Linked DNA regions of Anolis sagrei. The protein of the gene in region 2 purifies or fractionates together with the protein of the main gene of each other region. This does not show direct contact. Links are inferred from orthologs where the notes say so. Each region holds a gene or a part of one and is shown on either strand. Other genes may lie near its edges.

What was found.
Region 1: the proteins of SF3B4 (region 2) and RBM17 purify together in Homo sapiens (affinity purification with mass spectrometry; 4 studies listed by BioGRID and IntAct, with this or other methods). This does not show direct contact. The link is inferred for Anolis sagrei from reciprocal best matches to the Homo sapiens genes SF3B4 and RBM17.

The regions. Positions count from the first base shown.
Region 1 is NC_090025.1:190,045,033-190,056,516, forward strand, and holds the start of RBM17 (splicing factor 45), read right to left. Parts: upstream 5,370-11,484; 5' UTR 5,205-5,369; intron 4,892-5,204; 5' UTR 4,874-4,891; coding exon 4,751-4,873; intron 1,854-4,750; coding exon 1,737-1,853; intron 60-1,736; coding exon 1-59. Other genes in the region: RAB18 (ras-related protein Rab-18), read right to left, coding at 11,415-11,484. UniProt on the Homo sapiens protein: Splice factor that binds to the single-stranded 3'AG at the exon/intron border and promotes its utilization in the second catalytic step. Involved in the regulation of alternative splicing and the utilization of cryptic splice sites.
Region 2 is NC_090032.1:5,533,698-5,545,116, forward strand, and holds the start of SF3B4 (splicing factor 3B subunit 4), read right to left. Parts: upstream 4,902-11,419; 5' UTR 4,834-4,901; coding exon 4,800-4,833; intron 2,206-4,799; coding exon 2,077-2,205; intron 944-2,076; coding exon 401-943; intron 1-400. UniProt on the Homo sapiens protein: Component of the 17S U2 SnRNP complex of the spliceosome, a large ribonucleoprotein complex that removes introns from transcribed pre-mRNAs.

The sequences.
Region 1 (11,484 bases), on a different chromosome or scaffold from region 2:
TACTCATCAGCTAAAGGGATTAATACATCTCCAGCTGAAAAGCCACTGGGAACAGGATCCTGAGAACAAAAAATAGAGACAAGCGACATGTCATATAAAGTCATCCAGCAGAATTGCATCCAGAAGAGGCCCTTTGAGAACATCTGGTTCCACTTTCAAGGTAATATCTAAAAATCTGCTTGGAAACACCTCTCTAAAAAGACTACCTATGTGCAACACCATTCCCAATGAAGGCTGCTGCTATACACAAAATGAGCTGCACACAATATATGTCAAAATATAATTTCCAACCTGCATCTAACTGAACTGCAAACAAAGTTAGACTATGCTCATGGCACATGGGTTTGTTAACGCTGCTTCAAAGAGGCAATATAGATTATTTTTAAATGTGGCGATACTTTCCAATTCCATTATTACTAATCTGTATCTCTTCTCCAAAGTGGGAGTTCTTTTCAGTTTGCTCCTGCATTCATTTCAAGCCACTGAATCTTACCTATACATTTGTTTAAAGTTTAGGAAAGCATATCACCAAGAACAAAGATGGGGAACCTCTGGATTGCTAATCGTTTTGGACTTACATTCCCAGAAGAGATAAAACAGAGACCATATTAATCAAACAAAAGTGAACCCGTCAAATTTGGACAGCAGTCTAGAGCTTCAATAATGAATAAAAGTAATATAAAAGGACTCCTTGATTGTCAAGCAAAACATGGGTACTAGAAATAATATCATATGAAACCTGAGTGGCACAACCTGGGGATCACAACCAGACATAGTGAAGACATCTTCTCTTGAGCTTTGCTATTCTGCTGTTGTGCCCAGTGTGCAACACATTTCACCACATTAAAACAGTGGATGTGGCTCTTAATGAGTCATGCTGTATTATCACAGGATGTCTATGCTCAACACCACTGGAGAAATTATATTGTTTAGCTGGTATTGCACAACCTGACATCCGTCGGGAAGTAAAAACCAATAATGAAAGGACCAAGGGAGTGATATCTCTGCTCTGTTCGGATATCAGCCAGCACACCAACATCTTAAATCAAGAAACAGCTTCCTAAGATCTACAGAGATACTCGCAGGAACACCTCAGCAAGCGAGAGTCCAAAAGTGGCAGGTTAAAACCCAGAACCTTAATCAATGACTGAGACTGGATAAGACAGTCTCTCCTGGCCACACAGAAGACTGGATAGCTTGAAAGTCACTGAACAGACTGCGCTCTGGCACCACGAGATGCAAAGCCAACCTTAAGAAATGGGGCTACAAGGTATGGAGTGTGGAGAAGAGCAAACCACAGACCATTTACTACAATGCAGCCTGGGCCCCGCCCCATGCACAATGGAGGACCTTCTCACAGCAACACCACAGGCACTCCATTGGCTTAAAGGACATTTAATCCAATGCCATGATTTTAACTTTGTTTGTGATTTTTAATACATTATAATTATATTCTCAATTTGCTTCTGGCATAAATAAAAATCTAAGAGGAGGGCAAATTGATCCATAGGAGTGATGCAGCTACTAGTGATGTAGCTACTATGAACGCCCTTTCTATCATCTCTCTCAATGGAGTCTCCTTGCCAAGTGGGAGGCAGAGAAGAGTGTTTCCTCCTGATGGGAGGAAAGTGAGAGGTGATTCTGCTACAAAGTGATCCATCAAAGAACCACCTGTAATCTTAAAAGCCCCCTTTTCCTTATAAAGCCTGGCTTACCTCTAAAAACTACATCCTTACCTTCAGGCCAGGTGCCACGTGTGGAGGGGTGTCTACGATCTGTCGCTCATCAGAAGTACTGCCTCGTTTCAGGTCAATGACAGGAGCAAGAACTGTGGTTTGCTTTGTCCTTTGGCTCTAAACACCCACAAAAACATTAAAGATATTATACACAGACAACTAATCGTATCTTTGAGATTTTATTTTATAGACTTTTCATTGATCTGTGGGGTTATTCCCCTCAGGCCACTAAGCTTGGCTTGAAAAAAAATGCTTATCATTCAAAAAATGGTTTTGCAATTATTCCCTTAATTACAAAGTTTGAGTGAATACAGTATGAACTCAACATCTATGCCAGTGGCAACATAATATTTATTTAAGAAAGAGTAGGCCAGGGGAAAAAAGAAAAAGAAAAATAAGTATGTTTAATAGAAATCTAAGGCTCAGAAGTTATAACACGGACATGTTGTTGTGTGTGTTCTCAAAAGCTTTCATGGCCAGAATCACTGAGTTGCTATGGGTTTTTCAGGATGTATGCTAATCAAGCTGGCTAATTGCAATAGTCACACTTGCTTCAAACAGACACGGATTCTTTCTCCCACTCTGAACATTATTTGACAAATATAAATACAATCCACTTGCCTCATTCCCACAGACCTCTGAACAAACCTCTGAGGATGCCTGCCATAGATGCAGGCAAAACGTCAGGAGAGAATGCTTCTGGAACACGACCATAGAGCCCAGAAAACACAAAACAAGCCAGTGATTCCAGCCATGAAAGCCTTCGACAAGACATTAAACATTCCATTTCACTGATGAAAACTGAATTTGAGCTAATAATTCTCCAAGCCTGGTCAGTTGTAAGGCAGATTGGGGTATGGGGTGGCAACCTGTGCTGGATGGGGTCACACTCCCCCTGAAAACACAGGTCTTAAGTCTGGGGGCTCTCCTGGACTCATTGCTAAGCCTGGAGGCCCAGGTATTGGCTGTGGCCAGGAGGGTCTTTGCACAATTAAAACTTGTGCGACAGCTGCAAATGTATCCTGAGAAACTGGACTTGGCTATGGTGGTCCGCATCTTAGTTACATCCCATTTAGACTATGTGGGGCTGCCCTTGAAAAGTTCCCAGAAACTCCAACTAGTTCAGAGACCTGCAGTCAGGTTGACAGGTGCTGGACCCAGGGAGCATACCACCACCATTACAGCACCTACACTGGCTGCCAATAAGTTTCCGAGCCCGATTCAAGGTGCTGGTTTTGACCTTTAAAGCCCTAAATGTTTGAGGCCCAACTTACCCCACCACCAGCTCAATAGACATCTTGAGCAATGATCAATCTATTTGCCCCCATGGAACTGGGAAATTGATGCTTCTGTTTGATGTTTTGTCTAATGTCCGATCTAATAGGTTGTGTTTTTATTTAATTTTAATTATTAAGGCATAATTTGTTTTTATATGTTGAGTTGCCAAATTTTGTTATCATGGGTGTGTTGTTGTTGTGTTCGGGCACTGAATGTTTACCTTTTATGTTTCGAATCTGCCCTGAGTCCATCTGGGAAGCATTATGTCCTCAAAATGCACTTTACTACTGCTTTAGGATTGATTGCGTTCCCGCATTCTCTCTGAAAATCCTATCCCAATTATATCCTACCTTGTTCACATCAGCATTATTTTTTAATTTTAATCTATCACATTTGGCCCGGCCTTTGGTTTTAAATGCTTATATGTTACTGTTGATTGCTTATTGTCTATTTTGTTTATGTGTATTGATTGTTTATTGATGTTTTATTTTTTGATGTATTGCGGGCTTGGTCTCATGTAAGCCGCACCGAGTCCCTTGGGGAGATGGGAGCGGGGTACAAATAAAGTGTTATTATTATTATTAAGACAGGGTGAAATATAAATAGTTTTTATATTTTATTATTATTACCTATCTGACCGCATCACCTCTTACCAACCTGCCTGACCATTAAGACAGTGGTTCTCAACCTGTGGGTACCCAGATGTTTTTGGCCCACAACTCCCAGAAATCCCAGCCAGTTTACCAGCTGTTAGGATTTCTGGGAGTTGAAGGTCAAAAACATCTGGGGACCCCAGGTTGAGAACCACAGCATTAAGATCTTCCAGAGAGATCCTTCTCTCATTACCGCCCTCACAAATATGGTTGGTGGCAACGAGAGAGAGCCTTCTTAGTAGCCGCCCTGGCTCTTTGGAACTCCCTCCCCCTTGAGATTAAAACTACCTCCTCCCTGTCATCTTTCAAGAACCATTTGAAGACCTACCTGTTCAAGCAGGTTTTTGATGAATGAATTCAATTGTTAATGATAGCAAGGTTAATTTGCACTGAGCTGAGCAAAATATACCTTTTAATTGATGAGTCTCCGCAATAATTGTAATCTGTAACCCGCCTTGAGTCGCCGTATGGTTGAGAAAGGCAGGCTACAAATGTCGTAAATAAATAAATAAATGGTATAAAATGTTTTTAATGCTTAGTATTTATTTCTGTCTTATTTCTGGACATTATTATGCTTTGTGTGGTTTTTGTCTTGTATTTTATGTTAAATGTGATTTGATTTGTATTATGTTGTGAGCTGCTTTGGGTCCCGTTAGAGATAAAAGTGGGATATAAATAAAGATTATTATTACTGCTTGGGAAGAAACCCCCACTGGAGCACTGCAGCACACCAAAATACCTGGGAGTTATCCTGGACTATGTTCTGACCTAGAAAGAGCACTGCTTGAATATCAACGTAGAAGGAGATACGTTCGGACATGTACGCTGGGCCGGAGCCGTAAAGCGTTTTGTAGGTCAAAACCAGTTTTAAATAAATAAATAGATGCAGGCGAAATGTCAGGAGAAAATGCTTCTAGAACATGGCCATATAGCCCGAGAAACCTACAACACCCCAATTTTGTTGATACTGACTGAACAAAATATTAATAATAATAACTGCTACATTAACATTGTGCTTAGTTAAAGGCAGCTACCTCAGCAATCAGTGACAGGTGTCGCTTCTACCAGACTTTTTATCCTTACCTTTGCTTGGGTGAGTGCCGCCTTCTTCACTTGCAGCTGAGACTGCAGGAGTTTGAAGTTTTTGGACCAGCCTTCTGTCTTGGAATCGCTGGTCTCCACTCCCAAGTCATCGTAGAGCGACATTTTGGTTCTGCTTCAGAGCTAGGAAGGGAAAAGGCAAGGGAGAATAATCACAGCATCACTTAAAATAGGCCTGGGCCAACTTGGGCCCTCCAGGTGTTTTGGACTTCAACTCCCACAATTCCTAACAGCCGGCAGGCTGTTAGGAATTGTGGGAGTTGAAGTCCAAAACACCTGGAGGGCCCAAGTTGGCCCAGGCCTTGAGGCTTTATGGCTGTAATAAGGCCCTAGCTTCCTCCCTGGCAAGTACCCCTTATCCAGAACTCCAAAATACTCCAAAATAATATTATCCCATGTATACAATGAAATCTAATGGCCTCCAGTTTTTTCTTACCCTTCCGCACACAAGGCCTCAAAGCCGGGGCCTCGAGTAAGGCCCGAAGCCGAAGGAAACGCCTCCTCTGTGGGGGTAGGAGAAGCTCCCGCGTCACGGAGGGAAAGAACCAATCAGCGTCCTTCCCCGAGAGCGCCTTGGCGTGCCTCTGAGCGTCTCAACGGCGGGACGCAGCGGCTGCGTAAACTTCGTAGCGCAGGAGGCGGAGCTGGGCTACAGGCTTCACACGCTGAAGGTAAGACCTACGCCAGTTCCGTAAACTGGCAAAAAGGCTAAGTTAGTGTTTACTCTAACTACGCAGCAAAGGGAATAGGGGAAGATTCTCCACTGACACCTAAAGGCGCATAGCTGCAACTGCAACTCAGGAAATACTTTGATATTGTACTCCATTTATATGTAGTCCTAATATAGTATTCTTTATTACTATGTATATTGTTTATATTAGATCTGATATAGTAGCTTCCATTACTATGTATATTTATATTAGATCTAATATAGTAGTTCCCATTACTATGTTTCTTGTTTATATTAGAATATAGTAGTTGCCATTACTATGTATATATTACATCTAATATAGTATTTCCTATTACTATGTAATTATTTATATTAGATCTAATGTAGTGATTCCCAATATTGTGCATATTATTTATTTTAGATCTAATATAGTAGTTCCCATTACTATGTATGTTTATATTACATCTAATATACTACTTCCTATTACTATATTATTTATATTAGATCTAATATAGTGATTCCTACTATTATGCATATTATTTATTTTAGATCTAATATAGTAGTTCCTATTACTAAGCATGTTGTTTATATTATGAGATCTAATATAGTGGTTCCAATTACTATGTATATTATTTCTATTAGATCTAATATAATAGTTCCCATTACTATGTATCTTGTTTATATTAGAACTAATATAATAGTTCCCATTACTATGTATGTTTATATTACATCTAATATAGTACTTCCTATTACTATGTATATTATTTATATTAGATCTACTGTAGTGATTCCCACTATTATGCATATTATTTACTATAGATCTAATATAGTAGTTCCCATTATTATGTATCTTGTTTATATTAGATTTAATATAGTAGTTCCTATTACTAAGCATGTTGTTTATAAGATCTAGTATAGTGGTTCCAATTACTATGTATATTTTTCTATTAGATCTAATGTAGTGATTTCCTCTATTATGTATATAATCAATTTATTTTAGATCTAGTGTAGTGGCTCCAACTATTATGCATATTATTTATATTAGGTGTAATATAGTGGTTCCAAATGGTACATATATTGGTTATATTAGCCCTAATACTGTATATATCTGGTTCACTGCCATGATTTGATGATGGATAACATCTTGAAAGTTATAAGTATCTGAGCTTCTTGCTGTTTCAAGCTTTCAATACTACAGTTAGCCATCTAGTTGCTAGGGTTAGGGGATCAAAACCCTAAAAGTGAAAAAAAGCTATAAATAAATAGAAAAGTGTTATTTTTTATTTGAGAGAACATCTAGGGATTTTGGAGCTCTGCAGTTAGCTTTCACTTGCACTGAAAGACAGAGATTTCTAGACCTTATTAACAAAATCTGCAAGTGTGAAGGACTACCTGTGTAGATATAGATCTATTTCTGAGCATGGCTCTTTAAAAGTCTCATAAGATTATCCTAAATTGAAGCTGGCTTGATGTCAAACTTGATACTATAGATATGTATAAAATCTAATTTAGATTGTTTCTGAATTGTGTGACAAACTGTTAATAATGGTTCAAATGGACTAAGTATTTTAAAAAATTAATCTATGCTGCTGACAAAAAAATAGATCTACACATTAATAAGTTAATATTAGAGCACTAGGTTCATCGTCCTCATTTAGGATTATTTTAAATATTATTCATAATTTTCATTTTAATATCCTTCGTTGTCATAATTTTCTGTGTGTACTACAAATGTTAATGTGGGTCATTTTAATACATGATTTTATAATTTCAAGGTTTCCTATTTGTCTTTCTGTACCATGTTGTAGATTGTAAGTGGAGTTACAAATATATAAAATAATGCAAATTTGTCACTACATTGTTCTCTTTGTTCATTTAAAGAAGGTAGATTTCCAATGGGGCACTATTTTTTTTCTGAAAAGGGAGTAACAAGCCAGATAAGTTTGAAAATCTCTGATTTAAGGTATTGTCAAAGGCTGATTTAAGCTCTGATATATTTAGTCGCATGGGCGGGGGGAGGTTGTTTAAGGGCAATTAATGCATCTGTAGAACCAATGCAGTGTGAGATAAAGACCAAGGGGAAAGGAACAGACCCAGACTTATTCATAGTTAGTCATATCTACTGAAAGCTTTGAGGAATGTTAGTTGCAACCAAACTAAATCCTACTGGTCCCAGTTGTTATATTTTAAGAAGGACTTTGTTGTTGTTTATTCATTCAGTCGCCTCCGACTCTTCGTGACCTCATGGACCAGCCCACACCAAAGCTCCCCCTTGGTCAGTTCCTTCAAGGTCAAGCCAGTCACTTCAAGGATATCATTACAGTTACAGGGAGTGGTCAACCCCCGTTTAAACAGCTCCATTTGCTGCCAATAAGTTTCCGGTCCCATTATAAAGTTCTAAATGGTTCAGGGCCTGCCTATCTTCATGATCGCATCTTCCCCTATGAACCAGCACATACCCCAAGATCATTTGGGGAGGCTCTTCTCTCGCTTCCACCTCTGTAGCAAACACGGTTGGTGGGGACGAGGGAAAGGGTCTTCTCTGTGGTGCCCCCTGGGCTCCTGAAGGAGATCAGATAGCGGCCAGTCCAGCGGAGTTGTTGGTGGAGGACCATCGCTTCCGTGCTGGTGGTCTTTGCTACTTTCAGCATGCTGACATTTGTCCTCCTGTCTTCCCAAGAGATTTGCTGGATTTTTTGGAGGCAGTACTGATGGAATTGTTCTAGTTGCATGTGACGTCTGTAGACAGTCCACGTCTCACAGGTGTATAGCAGGGTTGGGAGGACAATAGCTTTATAAACAAGCACCTTGGTATCCCTACAGATGTCCCAGTCCTCAAACATTCTCTGCTTGATTTGGAAAAATGCTGCACTCGCAGAGCTCAGGCGGTGTTGTATATCAGTGTCAATGTTGACTTTTGTGGAGAGGTGGCTGCCAAGGTAGCGGAAATTGTCAACATTTTCTAATAATAATAGCTTTTAGGAATCCTGAGCCTGAACTCACTATTGTTGTCAGCCACAATATTGGTTTATGATGTTTATCTGATTATATTATTTCATTGTTTTTAGACATTGACTGTATTTTTGTGTTCGTTTTTAATCTGTATTTGCTGGCCATGTCGCTTGTAAGCCACCCCGAGTCCCTTCGGGGAGATGGAGGCGGGGTATAAAAATAAAATTATTATCCATCCATCTTGCCTCTGGTCGGCCCCTCTTCATTTTTCCTTCCATTTTCCCCAGCATCATGATCTCTTCCAAAAATATTCCATCTACTCATGATGTCGCCAAAGTACTTCTAGGAGTTGCATGTGACGTCTGTAGATAGTCCACGTCTTGCAGGTGTATAGCAGGGTTGGGAGGACAATAGCTTTATAAACAAGCACCTATGGATGCCCCGGTCCTCAAACACTCTCTGCTTGATTTGGAAAAATGCTGCACTCGCAGAGCTCAAAGTACTTCATCTTTGCCTCTAATATCCTTCCCTCCAGTGAGCAGTCAGGCATTATTTCCTGGAGTATGGACTGGTTTGATCTTCTTGTGGTCCAAGGCACTGTCGGAATTTTCCTCCAACACCACAGTTCAAAAGTGTCTATCTTCCTTCGCTCAGCTTTCCTTATGGTCCAAGCTCTTACATCCATAGGTTGCTACGGGGAATACCATTGCTTTAAGAAGCAATAAAGAGGACTAAATAATTCAGAAGGACCAAATCTCCTCAAACCCACGAAGTCCTAGTTTGCTGAACAAGGATTTAACTGTGCTTTGAAAGTTATTCATTTGGAACAGACCTATCTAGAGGGAGATTTCAGTTCGTAAGGAATTTTCTTTCATCTTAATCAAGAAAAGCATGCTTCATCTCTTCAAAAGGGGGAACAATTCTTTGGAAAAGATTTTGGTCTCCTTGCTGATAAACTTCATTTGAAAAATTCTCCAGATCAAAGTTTTAATGTTGACACAAAGTAAGTGGGACTCAGCAATGTCTGAATCATAGAATCATAGAATCAAAGAGTTGGAAGAGACCTCATGGGCCATCCAGTCCAACCCCCTGCCAAGAAGCAGGAATATTGCATTCAAATCACCCCTGACAGATGGCCATCCAGCCTTTGTCTGAGAACAAAGACACAGCACACAAAAGATAACCAGTTGAGATAAGAAAAACTGGCAGATGTTCCTGCTTCACAATCTTTATTCCAATGTTAAAAACACATTTCTCTCCAATAAAATTTGATTCTGTTGTACCTCCATGGATGGCCCAGCTCTGGCACCCTTCAATAACCTGTTTTAGCAAATATGCTGTAAATGAAATTTAGAATTCATTCCTAAAATCTGTTGGATAGCATTGAGTGTGAACAGTTAGTTATTTTACTTAACAAGGTTTGGTTATTGAACAGTTCTCAACAGTTTAGTAAAGTTTTCTAACAAGTGTAAAAACTGAAAAAAGCAAGATTTTAAGTGAAGTGCATCCAAGTGGTAAATGTCAACGTATTTGCAGAAGACCAATGATAATATGAGGAGTACCGAGGTGTACAAAAAAGAAATATTATAAAGATATTTCAGGCTATATATTTACAGGAAATTGCACAGTAGCTCGTATTGTTAGACAAATCAGTACTCTGTAGTATTTGAAGTCGTTAGTGTTACAGGATCATCACTCCAAGAGTCCTTGAATTGTGATTTACAAAATTCACCTGTACACAAGGAAGGTGTTAGAAAATCGAATACTGTGGAGGGGAAAAAAAAATCCAGACTATGCAAGTTCCCTGAAAACAATCAAGGCTTCCATTGTTCGTTACAGCAAACCGAAACAAAATAAGCACATGCCTTAGAGACGCACCCGGAAGACAGTTTTAACACTTATGCTTCCAAAAAACTAATAAAAGAGCCACATAGCATTGTCACCCAATTCGGGGCCTTCGCCTACCAAGTAGCAACAGTCCTGGGCGACCGACACCAAATCAACAACATTTAGAAGCATTCATCAAAGCCAGGAGAAGTGATTCACAATGGGACCTCTGTTAAGCCCATACCCGACAAGATTTATCTTGAAGGTCCAAAAGGATGCTTTAAAAGCCATGGTGCAAGACTGCCATTCGAAATTCCAGGGTTAAAATGTTTGACGATCTATTCAATGAAGTGACTGTTTAAAAAAAGTATCTCACCTCCTCCAATTACTTTAGAACAGGTATGGACAAATTTTGGCTTGGCATGTGTTTTGGACTTCAACTCCCACAATTCATGGCCTCAGGCCCCTTCCTTTTCCCCCTCAGCCGCTTAAGCGGCTGAGGGGGAAAAGGAAGGGGCCTGAGGCCAGGAATTGTGGGAGTTGAAGTCCAAAACACATGCCAAGCCAAAGTTTTCCCATGCCAGCTTTAGAAGCACCTCTTCCAAAAAACATAGAGTTGTGCTGGGATGGGTCATAACCCAGAAATGGTGTAGTTCATTAACCTAAAAAAGGGTTTAACCTAGCCATGCTAGAATTTGTTAATCAAAGATGAATCCTCACACATTGAGCATCGTGTCTCTCAAATAGTGCAGCAGAATCTGAATTAAAGACTACAATCGGGCAGAGTGCAGCCAACGTGTTTGTGTAATAGGCTTCAGGAAAAAAAATCATGATAAGATTAGGATATCTGAACACATTTGCTCCTGCGACACATCACCTTATGCTACATACAAAAAGAACGAAGATGTTGCAAATTAGTCATGCTTACCATTAACACTTCTGAACTGGAAAAGCTGCAGAATGCCATTTCCTTAATAAAGAAAATGACGACTGCCTCGATACACAAGTCATGCTTACCATTAACACTTCTGAACTGGAAAAGCTGCAGAATGCCATTTCCTTAATAAAGAAAATGACGACTGCCTCGATACACAAGTTATGTGCAAACTGCAAGGTCCCTAGAATAGCAGGTATGAGTTTATGTACAGAGGACATCACTATCCATTTAAATACACAAAAGGACGAGTCTTCCAGAGTTTATAACACCGAACAATAGCCGCCACAAGCGCCTCTATGGCCCTCTTCGTCGTTTGATAACTTTACGCCT
Region 2 (11,419 bases):
TAAAATGTAAAACATCAAAACCTGTAAAACGATATACACAAAACATAGGAACAAAACATAATGACAGAGAGCGGGCCGCATGTACGTTTAGCTACTCTCCAAAAGCACAACGGCAGAGCCAGGTCTTAAGACACTTTTTAAAGGTTTCTAACATAGGGGCTTTCCTAATTTCTGTGGGCAATGAATTCCAGAGTCGGGGGGCCACAGAGGAGAAGGCTCTCCCTTGTACCCAGAAGCCGAGTCTGAGAGACTGGCAAGGGCGAAAGGAGGGCCTTGCCCAAAGATCGAAGGGTTCAGGCTGGTTCATGGAGAGAGATACGGTCACAAAGGTAGGCGGGAAGAAATGCTGGAAATAAATAAAGTTAACAACAACAACAGCAAATTATAATAATAATAATACCTGGTGGGGTGACGCCAGGCCCCAAGGTGGTAACAACTGGGGTTGGCACGGATGGAGGGGGAGGAGCATCTGCAAAGAGCTGATGAGGCCGGTCAGCTTGAGAAAGTGGGTTCTGGGCAGCCAGGAGACGCTCGGCGGCTGAGCCATGCCTTTCACCCTTGGAGTCCTTCTTGAAGGCATAAGAGACGGTGATGGGGCGGTTGCAAAGGTACTGCCCGTTCATGGCCTCAATGGCGGCATCGGAGGCGTCAAAGCTGGCGAAGTTGATGAAGGCGTAACCCTTGGAATTGCCCGTGTCGGGGTCCCGCATGATCTTGGGGGTCTGCAGGATGACCCCAAAGGCGCTGAAGGTGTCGTACAGGAGCTTCTCGTCGATCTCGGGGTCCAGGTTGCCAATGAAGATGTTGGCCCCCACGTCCAGGTTCTTGTTGTGGGCCGAGGCCTTGTTGACCCGGATGGGCTTCCCATAGAGCTTGATCATGTTCATGATCTTGATGGCGTAGTCCGCGTCCTCCTCGCTGAGGAACTCCACAAAGCCATAGCCTGGAAAGGGAGGCAAAGCCAAGCGTTGCGCTGATCACATCTTATCTTATTATTTTTTAGTATTTTTATTTAAACCTGCTTTTTTCTCTAAAAAGAAAGACTTCAAAGTAGTTTATAGTAAAACCAACAATAAAATTTAAAACCTAAAAATATACAAGCAGTAAAATATAATTAAATATTAACAATATTAAAAATAATGAGCTAAAACCCTTAAAACCGATTTAAAAACTTATTTATAGTTAAAACCACAGCAAATCCTAACTTGGTTGTAAAAACCTTCTTTTTAAAGAAATATTATATTTTGTCACTGCTTAAGGTTATCCCTCTATTCACTACTGTAGAATTAAAAGACACTTGGGTGCATTTACACTAATATTAGTAATAATAATAAGTCATTCTGTGTTTGGGAAAGATCCTCTTTATGGATTAGGTAAAGGTAGTCCCCTGACATTAAGTCCAGTCATGTCTGACTCTGGGGTGTGGTGCTCATCTCCATTTCTAAGCCGAAGAGCCAGCGTTGTCTGTAGACACCTCCAAGGTCATGTGGCCGGCATGACTGCATGGAGCGCCGTTACCTTCCCGCCAGAGTGGTACCTATTGATCTACTCACATTTGCATGTTTTCGAACTGCTAGGTTGGCAGAAGCTAGAGCTGACAGCGGAAGCTCACGCCGCTCCCTGGGATCGAACCTGCGACCTTTCGATCAACAAGCTCAGCAGCTCAGTGCTTTAACCCACTGCGCCACCGGGGGCTCCTCTTTATGGATTACCAGTCCCAAAATCCCCCAACTGTCATAGCATAGCTGACTAGGGGATCCTGGCAGTGTCAGTCCTAAAAGGAGCCTTATTTTCCCATGCTCTGGAAGTCTAGTCTTCAAGATTTGAAGTAAAAGGATCTTGTTTGTGTATGTGCCTTGACGACTTGTGACGACCCCATGAATTTCAGAGGGTTTTCCTGGGCAAGGAATACACAGAGGTGATTTTACCTTTGAAATACAGCTACAGAACTTGAGATTTCTTGGTAGCCTTCAATCCAAGTACTCACCAGGCCTGCCCCTGCTTAACGTCTAAGAGCTGGTGGATTTACTCCATTCATAACACAGCACATTGAGAAAAGGTGCTGGAATTGCTTACCTTGATGTTGGCCCGTGACTCTGTCTTTGGGCATGTGAGTGTTAACCACTGGTCCTGCTTGGAGGAAGAGTTCCCACAGGAGGGGTTCGCTGACTTTTTCATCCAGGCCGCCAACATACACAGTGGCATCTGCAGCAGATAAGAGAGGGACAATAGTTATAGTCTCAAATGCCTTCATGAATCTTGTTTGCTGATGTTACATTTGAACCTAAAGCTGACTTTGATGTGATCCTAGGCTGCATCAATTAAAAGTCTAGTTCTAGATCAGGCATCCCTAAACCACAGTCCTCCAGCTGTTTGGGCCTCCAACTCCCAGAATTCTTGGCTAATAATAATAATATAACAACTCTTTATTTGTATTCCGCTCCATCTCCCCGAGGGACTCAGGACGGATTCCAGCATGTACTGACACAGGGAAACATTCAATGCCTTGAAACAATGAAATACAGACACACGGATAAAGATAAAGGATTCCCCTTCAACTCTGGCTCTGGGGGTGGTGCTCATCTCCCATTTTTAAGCCAAAGAGCCTGCATTGTCCGTAAACACCTCCTGGGCCATGTGGCCGGCATGATTGCATGGGGCGCCGTTACTTTCCCTCAGCCATTGATTGAGGTTCTGGGTTTGAGCCTGCCACTTTTGAACTCTCGCTTGCTGGGGTGTTCCAGTGAGTGTCTCTGTAGATCCCAGAAAACTATGTCTTGATTTAAGTCGTTGACGTGCTGGCTGATATCTAAACAGGGGATGTGCTGGAGATGTCTCTGCCTTGGTCCTTTCACTTGGCTGCTACTTCCTGGCGGATGTCAGGTGGTGCAATACCGGCTAGACAGTGTAATTTCTCCAGTGGTGTAGGGCTCAGACACCCCGTAATAATTTGGCATGTCTCATTAAGTGCCACATCCACTGTTTTAGTGTGGTGAAATGTGTTCCACACTTTGGCTGGCTCAAACCCAGAACCTCAATCCATGGCTGATACCAAATGAGAGAGCCCCCCCCCCCCCCCTGGGCACACAGAAAACTGGGCGACTTGGAAGGCACCAAACAGACCGCACTTCGAGATGCAGAGCCAACCATAAGAAATGGGGTTACAAAGTGGAATCCACGACATGCGAGTGTGGAGAAGAGCAAACCACTGACCACCTGCTGCAATGCAACCTGAGCCCAGCCACATGCACAATGGAGGACCTTCTTGCGGCAACACCAGAAGCACTCCAAGTGGCCAGATACTGGTCAAAAGACATTTAATCAACCACCAAACTCACAAATGTTGTATTTTGTCTGTTTGTTTGCTTTGTTCTGTTAAAAATGTAATATAATTGACTGGTTGCCCTGACACAACAAATAAATTATTACTGCATTCCCACCTAGCTCCAGCAGACTATTTATTTATTTAGCAATTTTGTATACCGGTCTTCTCCCCTCTATCGGGGGACTCGGGCCAGTTTCCAACAATAAAATCACAAAACAATCATTAAAAACATCATATAACATATTCAATTAAAACGTTATAACAGCAAAATGCAATCACATAATAACAATGGTCAGTCGTCATAGTGAACTCGTTGTCCATCATTCATCGTCATCTATCCAATCACAGAAATACTGATTCACTCGTCGAAAGCCAAACCCCATAGCCAGGTTTTCACCTGTTTTCTGAACGACAGAATGGAGGGGGCAGTTCCGATCTCCAGTGGGAGAGAGTTCCAGAGTCGAGGGACCACCACCGAGAAGGCCCTGTCCCTCATCCCCACCAGACATGCCTGAGAGGCCAGTGGGACTGAGAGCAGGGCCCCTCCAGACAATCTTAACAACCTAGATGGTTCATAGGGGAGAATACGTTCGGACAGATAAACTGGGCCGTTCGGACAGGTAAAATGGGCCCCATTTCTTAAGACTGGCTCAGCATCTCGTGGTGCCAGAGCACAGTCTGTGCAGCGCCTTCCAAGTCGCCCAGTCTTCTGAGTGCCCGGGGGGAGTCTCTCATCTGGTATCACCCATGGATGGAGGTGCTGGGTTTGAGCCTGACACTTTTGGACTCTCGCTTGCTGGGGTGTTCCAGCGAGTGTCTCTGTAGATCTTAGAAAACTATGTCTTGATTTAAGTCGTTGACGTGCTGGCTGATACCCAAACAGAGGATGGGCTGGAGATGTCTCTGCCTTGGTCCTTTCACTATTGGCTGCTACTCCCCGGCGGATGTCAGGTGGTGCAATACAGGCTAAGCAGTGTAATTTCTCCAGTGGTGTGGGGCGCAGACATCCCGTGATAATGCGGCATGTCTCATTAAGAGCCACATCCACTGTTTGAGCGTGGTGAGATGTGTTCCACACTGGGCATGCATACTCAGCAGCAGAGTAGCATAGCGCAAGGGCAGATAGATGTCTTCACTGTGTCTGGTTGTGATCCCCAGGTTGTGCCAGTCAGCTTTCGTATGATGTTGTTTCTAACCTACAACAACCCACTGATTCGTTAATTCGTTGCTTAATTCCTGCTGGAGCGGGCCCTTGTGCAACAGAGCTACAAACCCTGGCTGGAAATGGAAAGGGAGGCCAGAAATGCTGGAGCTTCCCCTTCCCAGTTTGGCCTAGCCGCCATTATTGGCGCCTAAACCAGAGAAGAGACTCTCCAGACCCTAATATTCCCCTCTCTCCTTCCTTTGAGGGACGTTCGGAGGCCATTGGGGCTGTTGGGCCTTCTCAAACAGGCCTCCTCCTCCCTGCCTTTACCTTGGTTCCGCTCAGAGATGGGCCCCGCCGCCATCTTGGATGCCACACTCCCCGGCGCCGAGGCGGGAGAGCGCTACGCAAGGCTACTTCCGTTCCAGGACGGAAGTGACGCTAAGTGAGGGCGAAGCAGCATCTTGGGCCCAATACACCCTTTTTCTGTCCATTTCAGGGCAACTTCCGTTTTAGACCGGAAGTGGCTCTTCTGAGGGCCAGAGGAATGTCAACACCGTCGGCCATCTTGTGTCCTGGCAAAATAAAACCCGCGTCGACTCTTTTTGTCAAAAAGGGGAAAGGAATGAAATGAATCACTCGGTTTATTGTGTGTTTTGAGGAACAAGGAGGGCGAGGAAAGCAGGATCGTCGTCGACTAAAAGGAAAGAGGAGGCAAAGTAAAGGTGCGCATGCGCAAAAACACCTACGCACACCGTCGCCGCCATTTTGAGAGAGGGCGGAAGTGTTAGTACTAGGGTTGCTATTCAACTAATCAGCAGCCTTCTTTCTTTGCCTTCCCACATATATCTTTCCCTTCCTTTTCTTTCTTTCTGGCTACCAGTATTTGAAAAAAAACTTCTTCAAATTAGGACAGTAAATAAAGAGCAACACTTAAAAAACAGGGGGATTCCAGACAGGAAACAATCAGGGCCAGCTAACACCTCCCAACAAAGGATTCCCCCCGGCAGCCAGGCTTTGAAGCTGCAAGGCCATTCGATGCTGGCAACATTCACGCTTGCCTCCAACAGACAAAGAGTTCTTTAGGTTCTTGTGGGTTTTTTCGGGCTATAGAGCCATGTTCTAGAGGCATTTCTGCTGACGTTTCGCCTGCATCTATGGCAAGCATCCTCAGAGTTCTTTCTTCCTTCCACCTTCCAACAAAGGATTCCCCCCTCGCAAGAAGCAGCCAGGCTTTGAAGGTGCAAGGCCATTCGATGCTAATCACGGTGGCCACTTGCAACATTCACACTTATCTCAGACAGACAAGAGTTCTTCCTCCCACCCACCTCCCAACAAAGGATACCCCCAGGCTGGAAGCAGCCAGGCTTTGAAGGTGCAAGGCCATTCGATGCTAATCAAGGTGGCCACTTGCAACATTCACACTTATCTCAGACAGACAAGAGTTCTTTCTCCCACCCACCTCCCAACAAAGGATTTCCCCTTGCAGGAAGCAGCCAGGCTTTGAAGGTGCAAGGCCATTTGATGCTACTCACGGTGGCCACTTGCCTCAGACAAGAGTTCTTTCTCCCACCCACCTCCAAAGAAAGGATTCCCCCGGCAGGAAGCAGCCAGGCTTTGGAGCTGCAAGGCCATTCGATGCTAATCAAGGACGCCACTTGCAACTTTCACACTTGCCTCTAATAGACAAGAGTTCTTTCTCTCACCCACCTCCCAACTAAGGAGTCTCCCAGGCAGGAAGCAGCCAGGCTTTGAAGCTGCAAGGCCACTCAGTGCTGACAACATTCACACTTGTCTCCAATGGACAAGAGTTCTTTCTCCCAACCACCTCCCAACTAAGGATTCCCTCAGGCAGGAAGCAGCCAGGCTTTGAAACTGCAAGGCCATTCGATGCTGGCAACATTCACGTTTGCCTCCAATAGACAAAGAGTTCTTTCTCCCACCCACCTCCCAACTAAGGATTCCCCCTTGCAGGAAGCAGTCAGGCTTTGAAACTGCAAGACCATTCGATGCTGGCAACATTACTTGCCTCTAACAGACAAGAGTTCTTTCTCCCACCCACCTCCCAACAAAGGATGCCCCCTTGCAGGAAGCAGCCAGGCTTTGAAGCTGCAAGGCCATTCGATGCTAATCAAGCTGGCCACTTGCAGCATTCCCACTTGCCTCCAACAGAGAAGAGTTCTTTCTCCCATCCTGGACATTATCCCACAGACCCCTCAACCTGCCATAGATGGGGGAGAAACGTCAGGAGAGAATGCTTCAGGAACATGTCCATACAGCCCGGAAAACTCACGTAAGCCCAATGGAAGAAGGGCTGCACAGGGCGCCAGGTAGTCATTTGTTCCCAAAAAATGATTTTTTTTAATGGCTACTCAGAGACAAGAAACAAAGAGAGCACCATTGGGAGTTCTTAAAATACTGAAATCTTTAATAGAGGCTGAAATGGAGCTCCTGCCATATAAAATTATATTATGGGTTGTGGAGAAGATACCTGGGTTTTTACTCGTGTGCGTCATGCCACAAGAAACGTGTAAAAATCAGCACACAGTTCCCATCCTAAGTGCTGTGCAAAGGTAAACATTGGGAACAAGCTATATATATATATACAGCAATCTATCCCATAAAGAACATTTTGAAAACCAAATCCAGCAATAATGTATTTGTCAAAGCTGAGAACAAGCCAAAGATATGCAACTAAAATAGAAAGCCAAGAACATTATTATTTCCATCCCATTTCCAGCCTATTTACAATTGCACCTGAGAGCAGTATTTATCTAATTTCGTAACCACAAGCAAATGTATGCCATATTTATTTTATTCTTATGCTTTTACTGTTGTTGCTTTATCATTATTATTATTATTATTATTATTATTATTATTATTAGACTCCTTCTCTGACAGCTCCTGAAAGAAAGCTTATGAGATGACTAATAATAGTCATTATTATTATTATTATTATTATTAGCATCCTTCTCTTACAACTCCTGAACGAAAGCTTATGAAATGACTAATAATAGTCATAATAATAATAATAATAATAATAATAATAATAATAATAAGTGTCCTTATCTTACGGCTCCTGAACCAAAGCTTATGAAATGACTAATAATAGTAATAATAATAATTATTATTATTATTATTATTACTATTATTATTATTAGCGTCCTTCTCTTACAGCTCCTGAACGAAAGCTTATGAAATGACTAATAATAGTCATTATTATTATTAATATTATTATTAGCGTCCTTGTCTTACGGCTCCTGTACCAAAGCTTATGAAATGACTAATAATAGTCATAATAATAATAATAATGACTATTATTAGTCATTTCATAAACCTTATTTCAGGAGCCGCAAGAAAAGGACGCATTATTATTATTATTATTATTATTATTATTATTATTGTTGGCTCCTGAAAGAAAGCATATGAAATGACTAATAATAGTAATAATAATAATAATTACTCTTAGTCATTTCACAAGCTTTCTTTCAGGAGCCATAAGAGAAGGACATTATTGATAATAATAATAATTATTATTATTATTATTATTATTATTAATCATTTCATAAGCTTTCTTTCAGGAGCTGTAAACGAAGGACACTAATAATAATAATAATAATAACTATTATTATTATTAGTCATTTCATAAGCTTTCATTGTTATTATTATTATTAGTGTCCTTCTCTTACGGCTCCTGAAAGAAAGCTTATGAAATTACTAATAATAGTCATAATAATAATAATAATGACTATTATTAGTCATTTCATAAGCTTTCTTTCAGGAGCCATAAGAGAAGGACGTTAGTAATAATAATAATAATTAGTCATTTCATAAGCTTTCGTTATTATTATTATTATTATTATTATTATAACCTCACCTCTGAGGAAGCTTGCCATAGATACAGGCGAAACGTCAGGAGAAATGCCTCTAGAACATGGCCATATAGCCCGAAAAAACCCACAAGAACTGAGTATTATTATTATTATTATTATTATTAGTGTCCTTCTCTTGTTGTTGTTGTTGTTGTTCATTCGTTCAGTCGTCTCCGACTCTTCGTGACCTCATGGACCAGCCCACGCCAGAGCTCCCTGTCGGCCGTCACCACCCCCAGCTCCCTCAAGGTCAGTCCAGTCACTTCAAGGATGCCATCCATCCATCTTGCCCTTGGTCGGCCCCTCTTCCTTTTGCCTTCCACTTTCCCCAGCATAATTGTCTTCTCTAGGCTTTCCTGTCTCCTCATGATGTGACCAAAGTACTTCAACTTTGTCTCTAGTATCTTTCCCTCCAGTGAGCAGTCGGGCTTTATTTCCTGGAGGATGGACTGGTTGGATCTTCTCGCAGTCCAAGGCACTCTCAGAACTTTCCTCCAACACCACAGTTCAAAAGCATCTATCTTCCTTCGCTCAGCCTTCCCTAAGGTCCAGCTCTCACATCCGTAGGTGACTACAGGGAATACCATGGCTTTGACTAGGCGGATCTTTGTTGCCAGTCTGATGTCTCTACTCTTCACTATTTTATCGAGACTGGACATTGCTCTCCTCCCAAGAAGGAAGCGTCTTCTGATGTCCTTCTCTTACGGCTCCTGAACGAAAACTTATGAAATGTCTAATAATAGTCATTATTATTATTATTATTATTATTAGCATCCTTCTCTTATGGTTCCTGAATGAAAACATATGAAATGACTAATAATAATAATAGTAATAATAATAATAATAATAGTAATAATAATAAGTGTTAAACAGCTTGTGCTTCCTTTTCTTATGGCTCCTAAGCTAAAGCTCATGAAAAAAAATACAAAAATGTTGCATTATTATTATTATTATTATTATCATTATTATTATTGCTGCTTTAAACCACTTGTGCCTCCTTTGCTTAAGGCTCTTGGACTAAAGCTTATAAACAACGTACCAAATGAAAAAAAACTCTAACAGCAGCATGAAAACTTCCCCATGGAATGTCTATACAGCACCAGAGGAACTATATTTCCCCTGAATGAGATATATATATATACACAGGCACTCAAAAACAAGAAGGTAAACAGGGGGAAACTTGCAAACATGATATACAGAGATGGAGAGGGAGAGATATTACATTCCTAGGTTCCAGCATCAATTTTTAATGTACCGTTTCTATGCCTGAGGATGCAGCCTTGGATCTATCTATCTATCTATCTATCTATCTATCTATCTATCCATCCATCCATCCACCTATCATATCCATCGATCAATCTATCCAACCATCCATCCACCCTATCATATCTACTCATCCTATCCATCCATCTATCCATTCTATTTATCTATCCAACCACCCATCTATCCAACCATCCATCCATCCTATCCATTGATCCATCTCTACAGCCAGCCATCCACCCTATCCACTCTATCTATCCATCCTATTCATCGATCCATCTATCCAGCCATTCACCCACTCACTCACTCACTCTATCTATCTATCTATCTATCTATCCATCCACACACCCACCCACCCACCCATCTTTCCATCCATCCATCCATCCATCCATCCATCCATCCATCCATCCATCTTTTCATCCAATCCAGGTGTCCATCCTATCTATTTATCTACCTACCTTTCTTCCTACCTATCCATCCATCCTACCCATCTATCTATCCCTATCTATTTATCTCTCTCTCTCTTTCCATCCATCCATCCATCCATCCTATCCATTGATCCATCTATCCAGCCAGCTATCCACCCTACCCACTCTAGCTATCCATCTGTCATATCCATCCTATTCACCTATCCATCCATCCATCTATCCATCCTATCTATCCATCCATCCATCTATGCTATCTATCTATCTATCTATCTATCCATCCATCCATCCATCTTTCCTTCCATCCATTCACCCAATACAGGTGTCCATTCTATCTATTTACCTACCTACCTTCCTTCCTATCAATTCATCCTACCCATCTCTATCTATCTATCTATCTATCTATCTATCTATCTATCTATCTATCTATCATCTATCTATCTATCTATCTATCTATCTATCTATCCATCCATCCACCCACCCATCTTTCCTTCCTTCCATCCATCCAATCCAGGTGTCCATTCTATCTATTTACCTTCCTTCCTTCCTTCCTTCCTTCCTTCCTTCCTTCCTTCCCTCCTACCTATCCATCCATCCATCCTACCCATCTCTATCTATCTATCTATCTATCTATCTATCTATCTATCTATCTATCTATCTATCTATCTATCTTATCTATCCAGTACGTAAGCAGCATTTAATGGCCCCTACCATATGCATTTACAGATGGGCTATGTAAGGCAAAGGAAAACGCAAAAGGCCCATAAAGGAGGGCTACGTTTGGGACCAACAGATCTATAGGGATGCCCCACCCCCTTATAGCTATAGATTAAGTGCTCTTTTAAGAGGAAGGCTGGAAGAATAGGATTTTTTCCAAAACACACACATACATATATATATACACAAACAACATATTATGTACTTGCAAAACCCCAAATGACACATGCAACCTCTCCGTGTCCCCCACCAAACACTAGTCATGCTACGGGGTGATCGAATGCATCATTGGGATGAAAGATCCCACAAAGGTTAATCTCTCTCTCTCTCTCTCTCCATCCAATTTCCATTTGCATATATTGGGAGCCATTTCTTGCATCAGCCCCACAGGGAAGACGAGGGAGGGCTGTATCCCATTTTACAAAATTGGTTTTGCACCCAAACGCTGGAGGGCATTCTCGCCATGCTTTTAGACAGAGCCTTTCCTCCTCCGAACAGTAAGGAAGTCAGAGGCACTTCTGATGTTGCTCATGTTTGGCCTTTTTGGGGTCTACAATGGCCCATGGGACCCCAAGACATGGGGGAAAATAACCCCATAGCTCTTTGGGGTGATTTGGAGGGCTAATATAGGATATATGTCCTTCCTTTCATCCATCTATTCTTCCCTCCCTCCTTT